Linked DNA regions of Drosophila melanogaster. The protein of the gene in region 3 purifies or fractionates together with the protein of the main gene of each other region. This does not show direct contact. Each region holds a gene or a part of one and is shown on either strand. Other genes may lie near its edges.

Region 1 (5,619 bases), on a different chromosome or scaffold from region 3:
ATATATTTTTGTAGGTATACGGTTACAGAGTGCATGCTTTAGGGTGCCGCATTGGACGAACATAAGCTAGGATAAATAACTAGTGGGTTTCTTGAACTGAATGAGTGATTTTGTTAAGTTTATAATACCGAAGAATGTCATTAGATAACCGCATTTTCATTTAACAAGTTTTAATCTTCGCTAATTTATAAAACATTCCATATGTGTTAACATATTAGATATTTATATATTTTTTCCAGCATTGTTTTCCATTCCTCAGCCTAGTACATTGATTATCATGCTCTCATGGGCTTTAATGAATTACGTTCAAATGCATTGTTCAGAATCTTGCCTAGAAAACTAGCTACCATAAGAAATAATATACGAATATAAATACTCAACGCGGTATTATCGCTATCAGAGGCTTACTCAATACCTTACTTCTTACATATCCTAGCGGCATTCAGTCCAAAGCGGTCTCCCAGCTGTGAGATCCGAGAAACAAGTCGCGTCCTTGTTGTACATTCACTATTACATTTATTACTTCATTTACAATTCATATCATACATATTCAATTGGTTGGGTCCCCTACTTAAGCTTAGTTAATACACAATATCTGAATCCCGACATCTCACACAAAGGAACAACACTTATTGTAATTGAGCTTGACTTGATACAAGTAAATTGATTTTCAGTTTTGTAGTTTTTACCTTGATGAAAATGCCAACGACAGTTGAACAGTATAAAAATGTCTTTAACCTATTCTAACTAATACAAAAATAAAGTGAAGTCCTTGGAAATGCATGTGGCTCTTAATCGAAGGGGAGCGGGAAGTTGGAAGATGTTCAGTGGCTCAGCCAGCCGCACTTGATAAAGAACTTGCGCAGCGAAGTCTCCATAGGACTACCCAACGATGGTGCTCCGCTCAAGCAGACAGTCTTAACCGAGAGGTAGGTGGTGGGCGTAATATTATGCTTCTTGCACAGATCCAGCTCGTTGTGACTGAGCAGTTCACTGCCCGGCGGCTGTGGCAGATGTTTTAGTTCCTCCAGCTGGGTGCGCAATTTCAGGCTCATGCTGGGCACCTGATCACTGCCTCCGCCGGCGGCCTCGTTTTGCATTTTGTGCTGGTTGCCGCTTTGCAGGAGCTGAGGATGCTGCTGCAGCGGCTGCAGATGTTGTTGGCTTCCCTTCGCCGAGTTCGTTGGCAGATTCGCCATCGTCGTAGCCGTGGAAGTCACTCCCGTCGTCGCTCCCGAGTCCACTGTTACCCCCATTACCATTCCCGTCGTCTGCAGCATCGTAGCTGCCGACGATCCCCGACAGCTATCCAAGTAGTTTTTGCTGGGCAATAATGCGCCGGAGCAGGTCGGGTCGGCGATGTGGAGCGTGTTTCTTGGTGCGATTGAATTTGAACTTGCCTCGCCGCCGCTTGACATTTCGCTAAATAAACGAAAAACCGAATTATTCAAGTTCTAAGGTAATTGCAATTTTTTGCCAAAATACTTACACCTTTCTGAGATTCGGTTGTGGGGAGTGCAAGGAAGAGCTTGGCGGCCGATGACTTCCATTGGAGGTATGCGTGTGGTCCTGTGGTTAAACATTGTCTTATAGAACCATTCGAACGCTCGTTGTTTGGCGCGTTTATTATGCAGTGGAGCTGAATATCGTGAGACAAGACGGAAAAGCGATTGTAAGAGTTGGGTCAGTTCAGGTAAGGACGACGGTTAAAGCAAGGCAGAACACACGATATTCAACTCGTCATGCATTCTCAGTGGGAAAAGCTTACTCCAAGGGGAATGAAATCGAAACTAGCCAATTTGACCATTTAATATTCTGTATTAAGTATTCCAAATCGATTTATCCAAACTTTTATCTATACATTCAACTTAAATCATTTGTTTTCTTTCAATTTAAGTTAATCTACTCATTGTTGATAAAATTATAAAGCTACCGGTTCCGGTCACCTAACACCTCTTTTAATTTTTGTGAAACAATCGAAAGAAAAGGTAATGTTTGGATTTTAATAATAAAAAAAAAAATAACAAAGTTCCAAAAAGTTCGGATTTTCAAGACCAAATAAAATATTTAATGGTTAGTTCGATTTCGGCACCCCTGTTGCGGAGCCTTAAACTTACGGTCTTGCCATGGCCATATGGTCCTGTAGAGCGGTGCGTCGCTGTTGCGGCGTGCTGCTCGAAATGTGTGCATTCCGCGATTTTGGTCAGGCCATTATACCGGTATCGGTACAGCTCTGACTGTCGAATGCGCAGTTCCTTTTCGCGCTCCAGTGATCCCAATAGCCGCTCATACTCGTTACACGTGTAGAACTGGGCGTAGACCCGAAATCTGTCCCGAAACTCGCGCTGCTCCTTGGTGAGTCCTTGTTGCTGAGCGTAATTTCTGTTTCGGAAGAAATTTGATACTAATTGATAGTCCCTGACCATCCGTTTCCTGCGAGCACGCTCTCTGAGTCGGCGGGTGTATATGTCAACGTGGGCCAGCTTAAGCATCACATCCACCTCCGTATCCTCGGAGCTTAATGAGATGTTCGAGATCAGTTGCTCTGCCGTGGGATCGTACTCCCGCTCAAAGCTGTCCCTGTTGGGCATGTAGCCCAGCTGCATGGCCTCATCGGAGTTGATTTCCAGTGGAGGCAAGGTAGAGAGAGCATTGGTGCCCAGAGGACCAGCGTCGTCGTCTCCAGTGTGATCGATAAGGCGGGGTCTCTGGCTCTGGGCCGGCGTCCAAGTGGCCCTTCCAATCGTGCCATTTACAAACTTATTCACGTACTCCTCTTTGGCATCCTCCGCTGACTTCGTCTCAATGTGCTTGCTAATGTCCTCCCAGTTTCCAAAGCCGTACTGCTCGATTGCATCCAACAGGCGGATTTCCTCTCGTGCCGTCCACGCCCCCTTTCCACGAAATACACTCAATATGGAAGTGCCGGTGTCCATGAACTGGTAGGAGTGGTTGTTTTGATGGGCGCCGATCTCCGCACCTGCGGCAAAGCACTGCGCAAAAAATAAACAATACAATATAAATACAGAGTCAGCTGTTTTTTAATCAATATGGTGAAATTGCCGGTTGTGTGTATGTATTATTTGAATGTCTAGATGAGTCAGTTTTTGGTTCCAAATTGGCGACGCATCTCTAGATTGTACGAGTGTGGGTGTAACAGGGTGGGTCGATTATGTTGACAAAGAAAACGTGTAAATAGTTCCTCGATAAAAATAATTTGATTAGGAAATTAAAACAGAAACATATTTCATATTCCCTAAATTTACGCTTTGTCAGGCCTTTTTTTAATACAAGATTCAGACACTTATTTTGACATTTTTTTCTTTTTAATTTATGGCATTTAACTAAATAAAAATGACACTGCTAATTCGTAAGGAAGTAATTTTTAATTAAATTAACTACGATAGTCTACCTATTTACCAAAATCAATAAACAAATTTCCTTTAAATTAACAAAAAGTTAAAGCAAATATTTTTCTTGTCAAGATCTGGGTGACGTTAATTTAGAGGATTGAGGCCATATGGCCATTAGTTTGACCATCCAAAGAGGGTGATTCAAGAATATTTTGTTAAAATAACTGATTTTTATTATTTACAAATCTATATACAAGTATCTAGAACCTCAAAAAGAGCGAACCACCCTACTGCAACATGTATACGTGCGTCGCTCGACGGCGTGTATGTGTGAGTTACTTACTTGCAGACACAAATCGAAGTTTTCGCACTCCGCGCAGTGCACTCGAATGCCCTGAATATCATCCTGGCAATTTGTGCAATTATACTTTGTGAATAAATCCGCGATTGTGGTCATTTTGGGCCAAAACCTGGATTTTCACGACAATTATGAGTTGTGCGAAAAAAACCTATGCCAGTAATGTGACCAGACGCGAAGTCAACGCCATATTGCTCTACTGAGAATTCTTATATGTACGGCCAACGAACCGAACCAGTTCATCGGAACAGTGCCGCCTATATAGCTAGTCTTAAAGCCTTTTTAGCTAATTTTCATAATTCTGTTGAATCTCTGAATTATAGTTAATTTCTAAATTATACTACTTACCAAAAGTACCAACACATTAAATATAGAATACAAATTTCAAACATTAGGCACATGTTCAAAACTCTAATGTTTATGCGTTAAATATTGATAGTAGTTTATTTAATTATTTTAAAAGTTTAATTCGAGTGTTTTGCCTTTTTTAAATTATCACAAAAAATAATATTAATATATATAAAATAAAACTAAAATAAAAGAAGTGCATATCAAACCAAAACAAGGTAAACATAAATACGAATATGTGATGGTTGAAACATTTGTAGCGTGGTGCTGAATAAAAATATAAAAAACTCATGTGCTTAAATGCAGTTCGATACGTAAATTTAAGCGGTGGTCAGGATTAAAAACTTAAGCTAAATTCTGAGTTACAAAAAAAATATAAAATGGGTAAATATCTTTTGTTTCAAACAAAAAGTGTAAAAGTAATAACTGCCGAAAAATATTTCGGTTGCTTACATCTAACATGAATAGGGCGTGGGACTGCCGAGATATTGTAGGTTACAATCATTACAATCATTGGGAAGGATTTGGGGTAGGCTACGCTGTATAAATAGTTGATTATTCGATTAGTTCATATGGTGAATACGTTTATATTATTGTTAGTATTGCTGTCTTACACCGAGCAGTAGCCGAATTGTTATGGGTTCCAGATATCTCAGTGGGCGGTGAGGACTAGTTTGTGTTGCATGTGGCTTTGGTGGCATTGTTGCTAGTTTACTCTTGCTAGTTAGCTTGGACCAGAGAAAAACAAAACGAGTTACACGATACAAAATGGGTTAACAGATCTTAAACAGATATGGCAAGTTACTTGTGCAGCTGCGCTTTTCAAAAACACGCACACGGCCAACAAAATTTATCAATTCGAGTACCTAAAAACGTCTAAATAAGTCTATTTGAGCGCCAAATTCGGTTTTGGTGTCGCACCTGCGTCTGATCCTAGGGACTGAAGTATGTTTAACAATACTGTTCGAGGACATTCAAGAGTTTGAGATTCACGATTTTCACAGATACGGTTCGATTTGAATTCGCTTGCGTAAGGAACTAAGGAAAAGTCACAGCGCAGGCGCGACCCCAGTCGTCATAATTGACGACTGGCAACGGAAACAGATCCATGTCCAGATCCGTCTGAACCGCCTGCTCCCAGCATCGAGACTCATAAGCAGGCGGCCGCGATGGATGGGCTCTCAAAATTTGCATAAGCGAGTAGTCCTAAAGCATAACTATCAACTAATTTGGTATGTAAAGTCTTTGTGTCTTTGTCATGGGCATTGGCGCGATGAGGGCTCAAGGTCCTGTGGCAATGGCCAACTAGCAACAGTATGACCAACATGCCGGCAGATGCCACAAACTCTGCACCATACTCACTCGGATATGGGAACCGATTCGCTGTGCTCGGTGTCTCGTCTTTGTCTCTAAACTCTCGCTGCTCATCGTCATCGTCTTGGGAAGCGTCTAAACATTGGCTAAGCTTGGCGGGGATCACTGGTGTGGTGAAGCTGGAATAGGTGCTGACATGGCTTTTGGCGGCGCTCAGCCCAACAATATGCATATGATTGCACACAC
Region 2 (3,533 bases), 9.6 Mb from region 3:
CGGCAGAGGACGAATCCACTGACCACTCTCCAGCGGAGGCAGTGCTGAGCAATAATTCCTCGAGTGTCTGCAATGTTGTGGAGCCGGATGATGAGCACGAAGTTAATTCCGTGGATCGGGAGGACACCGCCAGTTTGTTCAGCACTACTACGACCACCACCAGAAGCAAATCGCCAAATACACGAAAATTGAACCGCCTGTGTCGGCGGATCAAGGCACCCAAAATGGTTCAGCCCTTGTACAAATATAGGTGTGATTTTTCCAGGCAGAACATAAGTCATAATGTTTATATCCCGGATGCATTGCAGCTCCCATGTCCGCGAGGACCACAACCATCAGATCTTCGGAGTGCAGTTCAATCCGTTCCTGGACAGAGGCCAGCCGCAGGTGTTCGCCACCGTTGGCAAGGATCGGGTTTCCATTTATGAGTGCGAGAGGAGCACCGGACAGGAGTCCTGCGAAGGCATTCGACTGCTGCAAGTCTACGCAGACCCAGATGTAAGTACTCATCATATGCTATTACTTACATACATCATCGTTACGCCCTCGTTAGACCGATGAAAGTTTCTACACATGCGCTTGGTCCTACGACTCTGTGACCGGCGATCCTGTGCTTGCCGCGGCTGGTTACCGCGGCGTCATTCGCATATTCAATCCGGTTAAGCACCAGTGCAGCAAAAACTACATTGGTCACGGGCACGCCATTAACGAGCTGAAGTTTCATCCGACTAGACCGCAGTTACTTCTGTCCGGCAGCAAGGATCACTCCCTGCGCCTTTGGAACATTCAGTCGGACGTGTGTGTGGCGGTTTTCGGCGGCGTAGAAGGACACCGCGACGAAGTGTTGTCTGTGGACTTTGATTTGCGCGGTGATCGCATCATGTCCAGTGGAATGGATCACTCACTGAAGCTCTGGCGACTGGATAAGCCCGATATAAAAGAGGCCATCGAGCTGAGCTCTGGTTTTAGTCCCAACAAGAATACGGGTCCGTTTCCCACGATCAAGGAGCACTTTCCGGACTTCTCGACAAGGGATATACATCGAAATTATGTGGATTGCGTTCAGTGGTTCGGCGACTTTGTCTTTTCGAAATCCTGCGAGAACTCAATTGTTTGCTGGAAGCCGGGCAAACTTTCAGAATCGTGGCATGAGATTAAGCCACAGGAGTCGGCCACCACGGTGCTGCATCACTTTGACTACAAGATGTGCGAGATCTGGTTCGTACGCTTCGCCTTCAACGCCTGGCAAAAGATTCTGGCCTTGGGCAATCAACTGGGCACAACATTTGTCTGGGAATTGGACTGCAATGATCCCAATTTAACAAAGTGTAGCCAGCTGGTTCATCCCAAAAGCAACTCCACCATCCGACAGACTTCCTTCTCCAAAGACGGTTCCATTTTAGTTTGCGTGTGCGACGACAGCACCGTGTGGCGATGGGATCGCGTCAATTAGGATGAGTGTTTCTAGGCTAAAAGAATTTTCCTTATCCTTCTAAATCCGATACCATATTTATGTAACCATAGTTATTTTCAGTGTAATGTTTACCTTCAATATTAAGTATGTTATTATGCGTAGCATTTATATACAATACTCATTGTATTGACAATTTATGTTAAATTATGTTAAATTTTTTAACATTAACCAAGATATTTATTCTATTCTATTACTTTTTTAATGATCAAATAGCTTCGCAAATATTATCATCTTATGTTGTGTGAATGGCGTGGGCTCTATCTTTAATGTTTATATTTTAACTAACTAACTTGTACACAATAAAAACTGTGAACACTAAAGATTAAAACCAATATTTTTTTAAAGGGTTCTTCAAAAATAACGGTTTTTATCTCAAATGTATCTGGTATTTTCAGCCGTTCTTTGAACGGTCACTCGAATCAGCTGCATTCATTTGTTTATATAGCAATTCGCAAACAGTTGGATTTTCCTGTTTAGTTGTTATTCCCATTACTAAAATGCTTACCGACAGAGTTCTGGCCACCAAGGAGGCGCTAGTGGTGGCTCTGGGCGACAACTGGGAGCGTTACCGGGCCAACATGAAGAATTGGTTTCGGAGCCGTTGGACTAAGGAGGAATTCGATGCGGAGTCGCGGAAAATCCTAACACCTGACAAACTGCACCTGCACAATCAGTTCCTGCTCGCCCTGCTCAACAAGATCGACGCCTTTGCTCCCCTGGAGAATCCTCCGGCCGTCCAGACCAGCAGCAGTAGTGGCAACCGAAGCAAACGGCGCAAAAGAAGTTCCCGCACCTTCGCCGAACGCCTTAATTTTGAGCTCAGCGACGTCCTGGACTTTGTAGCCGAGGACAACATGCAAATCATTCGTCCGCCAACCACGATCGGTATTCCGTCGGACCAGCAACAGCAACAGCTTCAGTCGCAGCGGTACTGCGCGCAGGAACTTTTCCTGCCCGACGCGGGATTCATTATGGGACGATTTCTGATCGGTGCCTGGGAAATCGGACTTGTCTCCGTGGACGACAATGTCGCCGAGTACGTTGCCATGGCCGTGCAAGTTCTGCTCAAGGATCTACTATCGGCAATCATCAAGAAACGAAAGCACTACAAGACCAGCGGCGAGGGAAACTTTTACTACGATGTAGGTGCTCCGTTGCGTGATCCTTCGCTGCGCAACACCGTCACCCGGCAGAAGGTCGACGACACGCCGCTGGAACTGGACAAGGAACTGAATACGGCCAACTTTATGCGGCGACAGAACGACGATGTGACCTTCCTCTCCGCCTGCGAAGAAGTGTAAGCTCCTGAATAATAATGAGATTTTCATGTGAAACACAAACTTAGGTTTTGTTTCTTTCAGCCAACCCACCGAACGCACAGTAATCACCCTCAAGGACTGCCAACTGGCCTTACGGGATCGCAACCTGATAGGCTCGCATGCCGTCTACTCTATAAACATGGAACGACTCAATATGATGATGCATTAGCTTATAAGTTCTAATTATTTTATTATATCAGCTTCTGTAAAAATATATACATTATACGCTAGTGTACCATTAAGTGTTTGGTTCAGCAAAAATTCCGTGGAGGCGGTTTGAATGGCAAGGCACCTGGTAGAAATTGATCCGCCTTGAATGCTTCGATTTCCTGCTCGTTGAGATCCTCCATGCGACTGTAAACTGAGGACTGGATTTCGTTGGTCGGTTGAGCTTGCTGCTGCTGCTGCTGCATCATTTGCTGTTGCTGTTGCATTTGAAATTGTTGTTGCTGCTGCTGCATTTGTTGCTGTTGCATCTGCTGCTGCTGATGCATTTGTTGCTGTTGCATCTGTTGCTGCTGCTGCATCTGTTGCTGCTGCTGCATCTGTTGTTGATTAGGGAATGCAGATGCTGCTGCTTGAGCAAATAATCCGGAGGCAGCTGCCTGCTGCTGCTGTTGTAGTTGCTGAGAAGCCTGAGTAAACATTCCGCCCATATTTTGGCTTGCGGCTTGGCCAAAGATTCCCGTCGACTGTGGTTGCTGCTGCTGCTGTTGGAAACCACCGAAAGGATTAGGATT
Region 3 (6,869 bases):
TATATTTAAAAGAAATATAAAAATACATTTCACATCCATTTATAAATTTGATTTAAGCTTTTTCACTTGAATATAAATTTTTATCAGTGTATCGATCAGTTTACATGTCGTTTTCTACATACATATGTATGTATTTACTTGTACGGTTCCAAATGGCGACAAATAATTTGAATTCTTTGGTTAAATAAGCCGGGTAGTACTTAGTTTATAACATTAAGCTATATCTCTTTCAGAGTTTGATTATAATTATGCTATAGTTGAACTCTCACACACATGTATACACACATATGTACAAAATAAAGAAAAAAAACTTACGCTGAGCTTGTAGCAGAACTAAACGATAAAACTTTCCACTGTTGTTTTTTATGCGCGACAGTTCTATTTATAAACAATTTGCTGTGCACCCGACGAGAATAACAGTTCGATGCGTGCGATTTAATAGACAATTAAGCTATAGACGAATATGGTGGGTGTACCAGCTAAACATGCCGTTGTTCACGCTTCTCGGTAACTGTCATTGCAAAGAAGAAGAGATCAGCTGTTCATTGTTTTGCTCGCCGATTTAAGAGGACATCGCCAAAAATGTTGCGGAAACTATTATTTAACACACAAGCTGTATTAAAACAACAGTCAAACGTGAGTTAATCATGAATGCATTAGATAGAAATTAGATACAAATTGTTACTTTCCAGTTACATCACATAAGGCACTTGGCAACGCCCAAGATATTGCAGCTTGAACAAATTCACATCGATGAAGCCATCAAAATAGAACCCACGTTAGCTGTATTCTCACCTGAAATCTGGCGAAGGGCCCATCAAACTTTTCAAAACCACGGCTTGGAAACCGTGAATTTCCTTAGAATAGTTACCGGTAACCCCGCGATTTTGAAAAGAACGCCGGACAAAATAATAAGCTGCCTGGAAATCTGGAGGGCCTGTCAATTCGGCGAGAATCTACTGCACCTGCTCCTTACGAAGTACCCCGAGTTACTGGACGTTAGCGACTCCCACCAGTTACTTTCCCACATCGGCTTCCTTCAAAGTCGCGTCTCCACCAGCAAAAATGTGTGGAAGTGTTTGATGAACAGTCCGGATTTGATAGCACAATCCGAGGTATCTATTGAGGAGAAACTGAACTTCATCACAGACGTGATGCGCATAGAAGTGCCGGAGTTGGTTAAATCGGCAGCCCTTACCTTGTCATTCGAGGAGCTGCGTTGTCGCCACCAGTTCCTGCTTCGTTTGGGCCTCTTTAAGCCACGACCTCCGAAAGCCGATCCAAATGAGCCGACTACGAACCCCAAACTCTATCAGATTACAGACACTTCCGAGAAGAGTTTCGCCACAAAGATTTGCCACGTCACCCTGCCGGAATACGAAGCCTTCAAGGATCTCTACGCCAAGGAACTGGAGCAAAAGTCCAGAAGAAAGGAGGAGGATGAGCTTAGTGATGAAGATGACTAATGTTACGTTTAATTATGGTTATAGTTTGTGCCAGCAAATAAACGCTTGTAAAAATAGGAAATGTTAAGTATAGTTTTCTATCGCCTTTAAAAAGATTTTAATTCATAAATATATTCAACTGACTTTTCAGCGGAAATGCATGTAATTAATATATCGGCTACGTATGCAACGAATACCTGTGCGACTATCGATAACATATCGCACTTAATCTGCAGCTGCAACAAATACAACGTAACGTAACGAGACGCGAATTGCCATCCCTAAGCAAATACAACGATATTCATAATATCAATCTTTAAACTCGAAAAAGCGAGACAAACTAGAAAGCTTTAATTGATTTCGTTACAGAATCAATTAGGCTATACAACCAACTCGTCTTTTTCGAGTTGACCTGGCATTTTCCTCCACGGAGGCCGGCCAAAAATCCGATTTATCCACGGGTAGGGTAGAACGGTAACCTAAACCCACAAAAAAAACAACAAAACATGGAAGTGTGTTAACGACGTAAGTGTCATTTAATGCCGATATCATTCGGCATTCGACTAAAATTGCCTGCGAGCATTTTAAGTGATTTTTATTTTGTGATTTTCAATCGTGTGCTTTGTTTGTGTTGCATTGGTGTGGGTAAGTGCGTGAGTGTGCTGTGCGTCGGTGTGAGTGGCTGCGCATGTGTGCGGCAGTGCGAGCGAGACGGCGCCACTCGAGTAGCGGTTGTCAAAAACAGCTGATCCAGACCAAGGGGTGCGGGTACCGAGGGGTTGGCGCTCGCGGGGGCGGGGGCAGCACTCACCTGTAAGCTTTCGCTGAAAATTTACGATATCAAAAACAACAGTTTGTTAAATTTCGAGATTCATTCAAAAATGGCAATATACGCATAGAAATACTCCAAGACGTACAGTCTTCACACCCTCCACAAGTGGTTTGTGCAGTGTCCAATACTTTTCCGTTGCTAATAAAATCTATATATGTATGTATGTATGTATTCAGGGTCAGGGTCCTGTGGTCAATGGATATGTTGTATATGTATAAGTGGGTTCTGCTGATATCTATTCATTTAATTATAACGATGGTTCTGTTTATGTTAATCCTAACGTGCACCAAAAAATTTTAATTATAATATAAAAAAATAAAGAAAAAATAAATAATTAATTCTAAATGATTATTCTTGTTTTAATTTACCTTAAATCTAAATCTAATAAAGTTGTAATCTTCTTGAGATATACTTATAAGATTAAATTTGAGTTTTAGGGTTAAACACGCCTGGTGGTGATTCAAACCACGTACATATGTATATGTAATAGAATATACGAATTTATTGTATGAAAACTAGTGATGATTTTAACATGGGCATTTCGTAGGGATTCCGTGGTCCGGGGTTCATGGTGCATAGCCCCAGATTTTGTGTTTTTTATCAGCGATGAATTGCAGTATCAGTTAAAAGCTGTCACTATCAAAGTTTCTCTGGAACTAATAAATCAATCCTGTTTTGCAGGTGCTTTAAGGGGCAATTTTGCTCGAGTGTACCGAATCCCCGGATCCCGCGAGCACAGCTTCTATCCGGAATGCCCCTGAACGATGTGGCCCCCGCCGGTGGTGGAGCTTATCCGGAAAATGGAACCAAGCACAAGGTGTCGGGAATGTGGAAGCCGGACTCGTCGGCCGGCTCCAATTCCGGCTCGGGATCGGCGGGACTATCCCTGTTTAGCCTGCAGGGCCAAAAGTGGCAGCAGGTCTTCGACATGGAAAAGGTCATCAAGCAACTGCGAACGGCTGAGAAGACGTATCTGCGTGGTGGAAAGAACTCCTCCGCCGGCGCAGATCAACAGGCGAAGGTGCAGGTCCAGCGTCTGCAATCGGCGGACATGGCCTACTACGATCTGGCGCCGAAGCTGGCCAGTCGCGATATAGTACTCTGTAGTTCCTGCTCGGGATGTTACACGAAGGCAGGTTTCCAGCACCACATTGCGCTGCAGCATCCTAGCGTCTGGGAGGCCACATCCAGCAAAGTGAATCCCAATCCAAATGGGACAGCCATATCCAGCGACTCTCGTCTCACTGCCACGGAAATCAGTCAGGAGGGCGGGGCTATCGTGCCAAGTTCGCCCACGGATACGCTTTCGGCCTCGACGCTCTCCAGTTGCTCGAACGGGTCCAGCAGCTCGGCTTCACTGCAGCATCCGGCTGCTGCGGGTTCATCCAGCACCACGTCGTCTTCGTCTTCGTCGCGTCACAAGAGCAGCAGCAGTAAAAGTAGCAGTTCCTCCTCGTCTAAGGGCAGCAGCAGCACTTCCGCCGGAAGTAGGTCGCGTTCGAAGTCGTCAAAGAACCGCCACCACTCCTCGCCAGCTCCGGCCCTGCTGGAGTCCAATCACAAGGAGTCAAAGGGATCGAAGAAGAGTTCGGCCATAGCCGCTCCTCCCGTCGTCGCTGCTGTTGTTAAGGAGGAGCCACCATCTGTGGGTGCTGCTCCGGCTGCCATAACCATGTTCTCCTCCTCCAGCAACTCATCCTGCAGCTTACCGCCCACTCCCACGTTGGGAGCGGCCTCCAGCGAGGTGGCGATGGGGGTCAACTATTCACCTGCCCAGCTTCAGACGGATGCGGAAAAGCTGCCCGAGCTGCAGCCAAAGAAAAAGGTATTTCATATAATTGTGACTATAATAACTCAATGATACAATTACCGAAATCCTCTTCAGTTGAAGGGCTCCAGCGATCATCGAATAAAAGCGGAAAAGGAGAAGAACAAAGATAAGTCTCTGGTGAATTCCTACGAGCAGCAGCAAGTGCTCAGCGAACTGGACCAGGCAGTGTCTTCCATCACGGGAGCGGTTTCCGCCGAGCAGGTGGCGCCCGATGAGGAGGAACTGCCCTTGCCCAACACCTCCGACGAGAACTCCATTTCGCAGACGCTCGACGAAATGCTGGACAGCAAGCTGATCAACGAGATTCTGAATAACTTCGATGAGAGCGCTCTGGACACATCGCAACAGCAGTCACAACAGCAAGCGCAGAATGGATCGCTATCGCATCCCGCACAGGCCACTAAAAGGCTGCGCTTTGAGGACGGAACCATTGGCGAGGATTACGCCGTGTACCAGCAGCAGGCGGTTCAGCAGGTTTATGGCGAGGAAGAGCATCAGCAGGAGCTGACCACCATCGATGCCATGCAGTTGCAGCAACTGATTTACCAGCAGCAGCAGATGCTCGAGCAGCAGCAACTGCAAGAGCAGCAGCAACAGCAGCAGCAGGATCAGAAGCTTCAGGATCACGAGCAGCAGCGCCAGTTCAGCGTCTACAACGTGCCGTCTCTGACGGATGAGGCAATGGTCAATCCACAGCAACAGCAGCTGGAGGAGCACATGATCCTGCCCAGTATTATATACGAGATCACCGAGTCGAATCCCGTTTCCATGCTGGAGCAGAAGGTCTTAGCCGAATTCCTAACCAACGCGGGCTACGAAAATGTGGACGTGAATGTCGTGCAATCGGGCGGCATACAAACCAACTTGAGTTCTGGAACGGAGGCAAACCAACTGGCGGATGAACTGGCCGACTTTGAGTTCAGTAAACTGGAGACTGTTAGCGACACCGTAAAGACTGTTAAGCTGGAGGCCAAGGCCGCCAGCCAGCCACCCACAACAAATCCTCAAATCAATCACCATCCATCGCTGGCCAATGCCAAATACCACGAGGACAGCTACTTTAACGTGATGCTGTACTCCGGAGCGCCTCGTCCCTTGGCCATGAACACGTTTGGCATGGTGAAGTTGCCCCAGGGCCTGGGCGTCACCTTCCGCAAGAATCTGTTGACCACGCGGAAGGCGAACAACAATTTGCTATCCCTGTCGGGAGGTAATCACCTGGGCGTGGTCGGTCAGCTGGCCCGCACACCGCCGCCGCCCTCGCCAGCGTTAAGCAACGGTCTGCCGGGTAAGAATCCCGCCTCGGGCAGAACCATTTACGCTCAGCGATCGAATGTCATTGCACAAGATCGCCTGAGGTGCAATAAGAGGGCGCTGGTAGGAGGAAAAGCTGGTGGTGGATCAAGCGGATCGCCGGGAGTCATGACAGCCAAGCGTTTGAATGAACTGCTAATGGGAAAGGCGAAGAAGGAGGAGAAGCCACCACCGGATAGCGAGGATGGCGGCGAGCAGCCGACGAAGGACAAGGAACGCGACAAGGAGGAGGACAACAAGCTGACCTTCAGTTTCTACGAGAAACGCCGCCGACTGTTGGCCGGCAAGCTGGAGCAGCTGCAGCCCCTCGGCCGCCCCAGCTTCACCCTGCCGCTCCAGAGCAACCACAACGCCAGCCAAAGTCAGAGCCACTCGCCACAGCAGCTCCTCAAAAAGCAGCTGCTGCGCACCTTGTCCGACAGCAGCAGCAACATGAACATCAGCAACATGAACAACATCAGCAATTTGAACAGCAGCAACACTCCCAGCGCCAACAGCAATCCTCCCTGGAAGGGGAACAGTTCCAATCCGGGAGGCAACTCCACTCCAACCAGCAGCGACTTGATGCGCGTCTTCGTCTGATCTGAACCGATGGGGAAGGTCAGATGTGCGGACACGCATCCCTAGTTATATGTTTATACAATACCATGCTATTATGTGCAGCCTCTTCTCTAATGCTAAATTAAATTGTAATAATTTTTTAAATTAATTCTTCATTTTTTAAAAGTGATAATTATCTTTTAGTTATCTATTAGTTGATTGTATGTAATTCTTTGTTTATTCTAATTAATTTAACAATTATACATATTATTTTTCGTGGCTAAGCATTATGCTAGGTACTCGTAAATCATTATTTATACACGCTGTAAACTTTTTAAATACAAGAGCATGCCTAAGTTCAATTATACTCCAGACCCAGCGTTGCCTCATTGTGTATATCTTCCTCCAAACGAGGAGCAAGTTATGATTATGTTCCATGTGTTGAGAACAGTAACCGGCGAGCGAAGGAAACCAGCTTAGCCTGCAACGGCATAGTCGACTGTTCTGATGGATCCCATGAGCTGGCACAGGTGTGTGGAAGTGGAAGATAGATTTCGAGGCAACGGCACTGGGTAAGGAACATTGCAGTGGCAAAGGGTAAGGAACAGTGCAGTGGCTGTGGTTAGCCGAAATGTGGGATCCGCCGACCATGTCGGTCAGAAATAACATAAATTGTCCGGAATAGTGTGAAGCCATTCAAAAATTCGTATTAAAATAACGGTCTAAATGGTTTACGAACACGCTAACAATATCTATCGAAGCTTAAAACCTTATAATCCCTACGGTATGCGGCACAACTATAGATATCCTTAAAACAAATAATCACTAAAACGATTAAATAAGTGCCGAATAAATAAGTTACAATTTAAAAGAATATTTTATTGTGTTAAAATTAATTAAGTAATTG

What was found. Proteins that work in one complex are often made in the same cells at the same time.
Region 1: the proteins of Atxn7 (region 3) and Ada2b purify together in Drosophila melanogaster (affinity purification with mass spectrometry; 3 studies listed by BioGRID, with this or other methods). This does not show direct contact.
Region 2: the proteins of Atxn7 (region 3) and Ada1-2 purify together in Drosophila melanogaster (affinity purification with mass spectrometry; 2 studies listed by BioGRID). This does not show direct contact.

What each region holds. Positions count from the first base shown.
Region 1 is NT_033777.3:8,236,614-8,242,232, forward strand, and holds Ada2b (transcriptional adaptor 2b), read right to left. Parts: upstream 3,903-5,619; 5' UTR 3,811-3,902; coding exon 3,697-3,810; intron 2,994-3,696; coding exon 2,118-2,993; intron 1,640-2,117; coding exon of another isoform or gene 1,570-1,639; coding exon 1,490-1,569; intron 1,423-1,489; coding exon 825-1,422; 3' UTR 501-824; downstream 1-500. UniProt on the Drosophila melanogaster protein: Component of several Gcn5-containing histone acetyltransferase complexes that regulate nucleosome organization; involved in acetylation of histone H3, particularly on Lys-10 (H3K9ac) and Lys-15 (H3K14ac).
Region 2 is NT_033779.5:11,991,022-11,994,554, forward strand, and holds Ada1-2 (transcriptional adaptor 1-2), read left to right. Parts: upstream 1-1,880; 5' UTR 1,881-1,971; coding exon 1,972-2,771; intron 2,772-2,835; coding exon 2,836-2,962; 3' UTR 2,963-3,033; downstream 3,034-3,533. Other genes in the region: escl, read left to right, coding at 1-250, 309-498, 554-1,453; CG18789 (uncharacterized protein), read right to left, coding at 3,045-3,533. UniProt on the Drosophila melanogaster protein: Component of the transcription regulatory complex SAGA, a multiprotein complex that activates transcription by remodeling chromatin and mediating histone acetylation and deubiquitination. The SAGA complex predominantly acetylates histone H3.
Region 3 is NT_033779.5:2,374,174-2,381,042, forward strand, and holds Atxn7 (ataxin 7), read left to right. Parts: upstream 1-1,667; 5' UTR 1,668-1,970; exon of another isoform or gene 1,971-2,090; intron 2,091-2,159; exon of another isoform or gene 2,160-2,499; intron 2,500-2,958; 5' UTR 2,959-3,028; coding exon 3,029-4,102; intron 4,103-4,162; coding exon 4,163-6,004; 3' UTR 6,005-6,333; downstream 6,334-6,869. Other genes in the region: CG15390 (uncharacterized protein), read left to right, coding at 583-636, 693-1,466.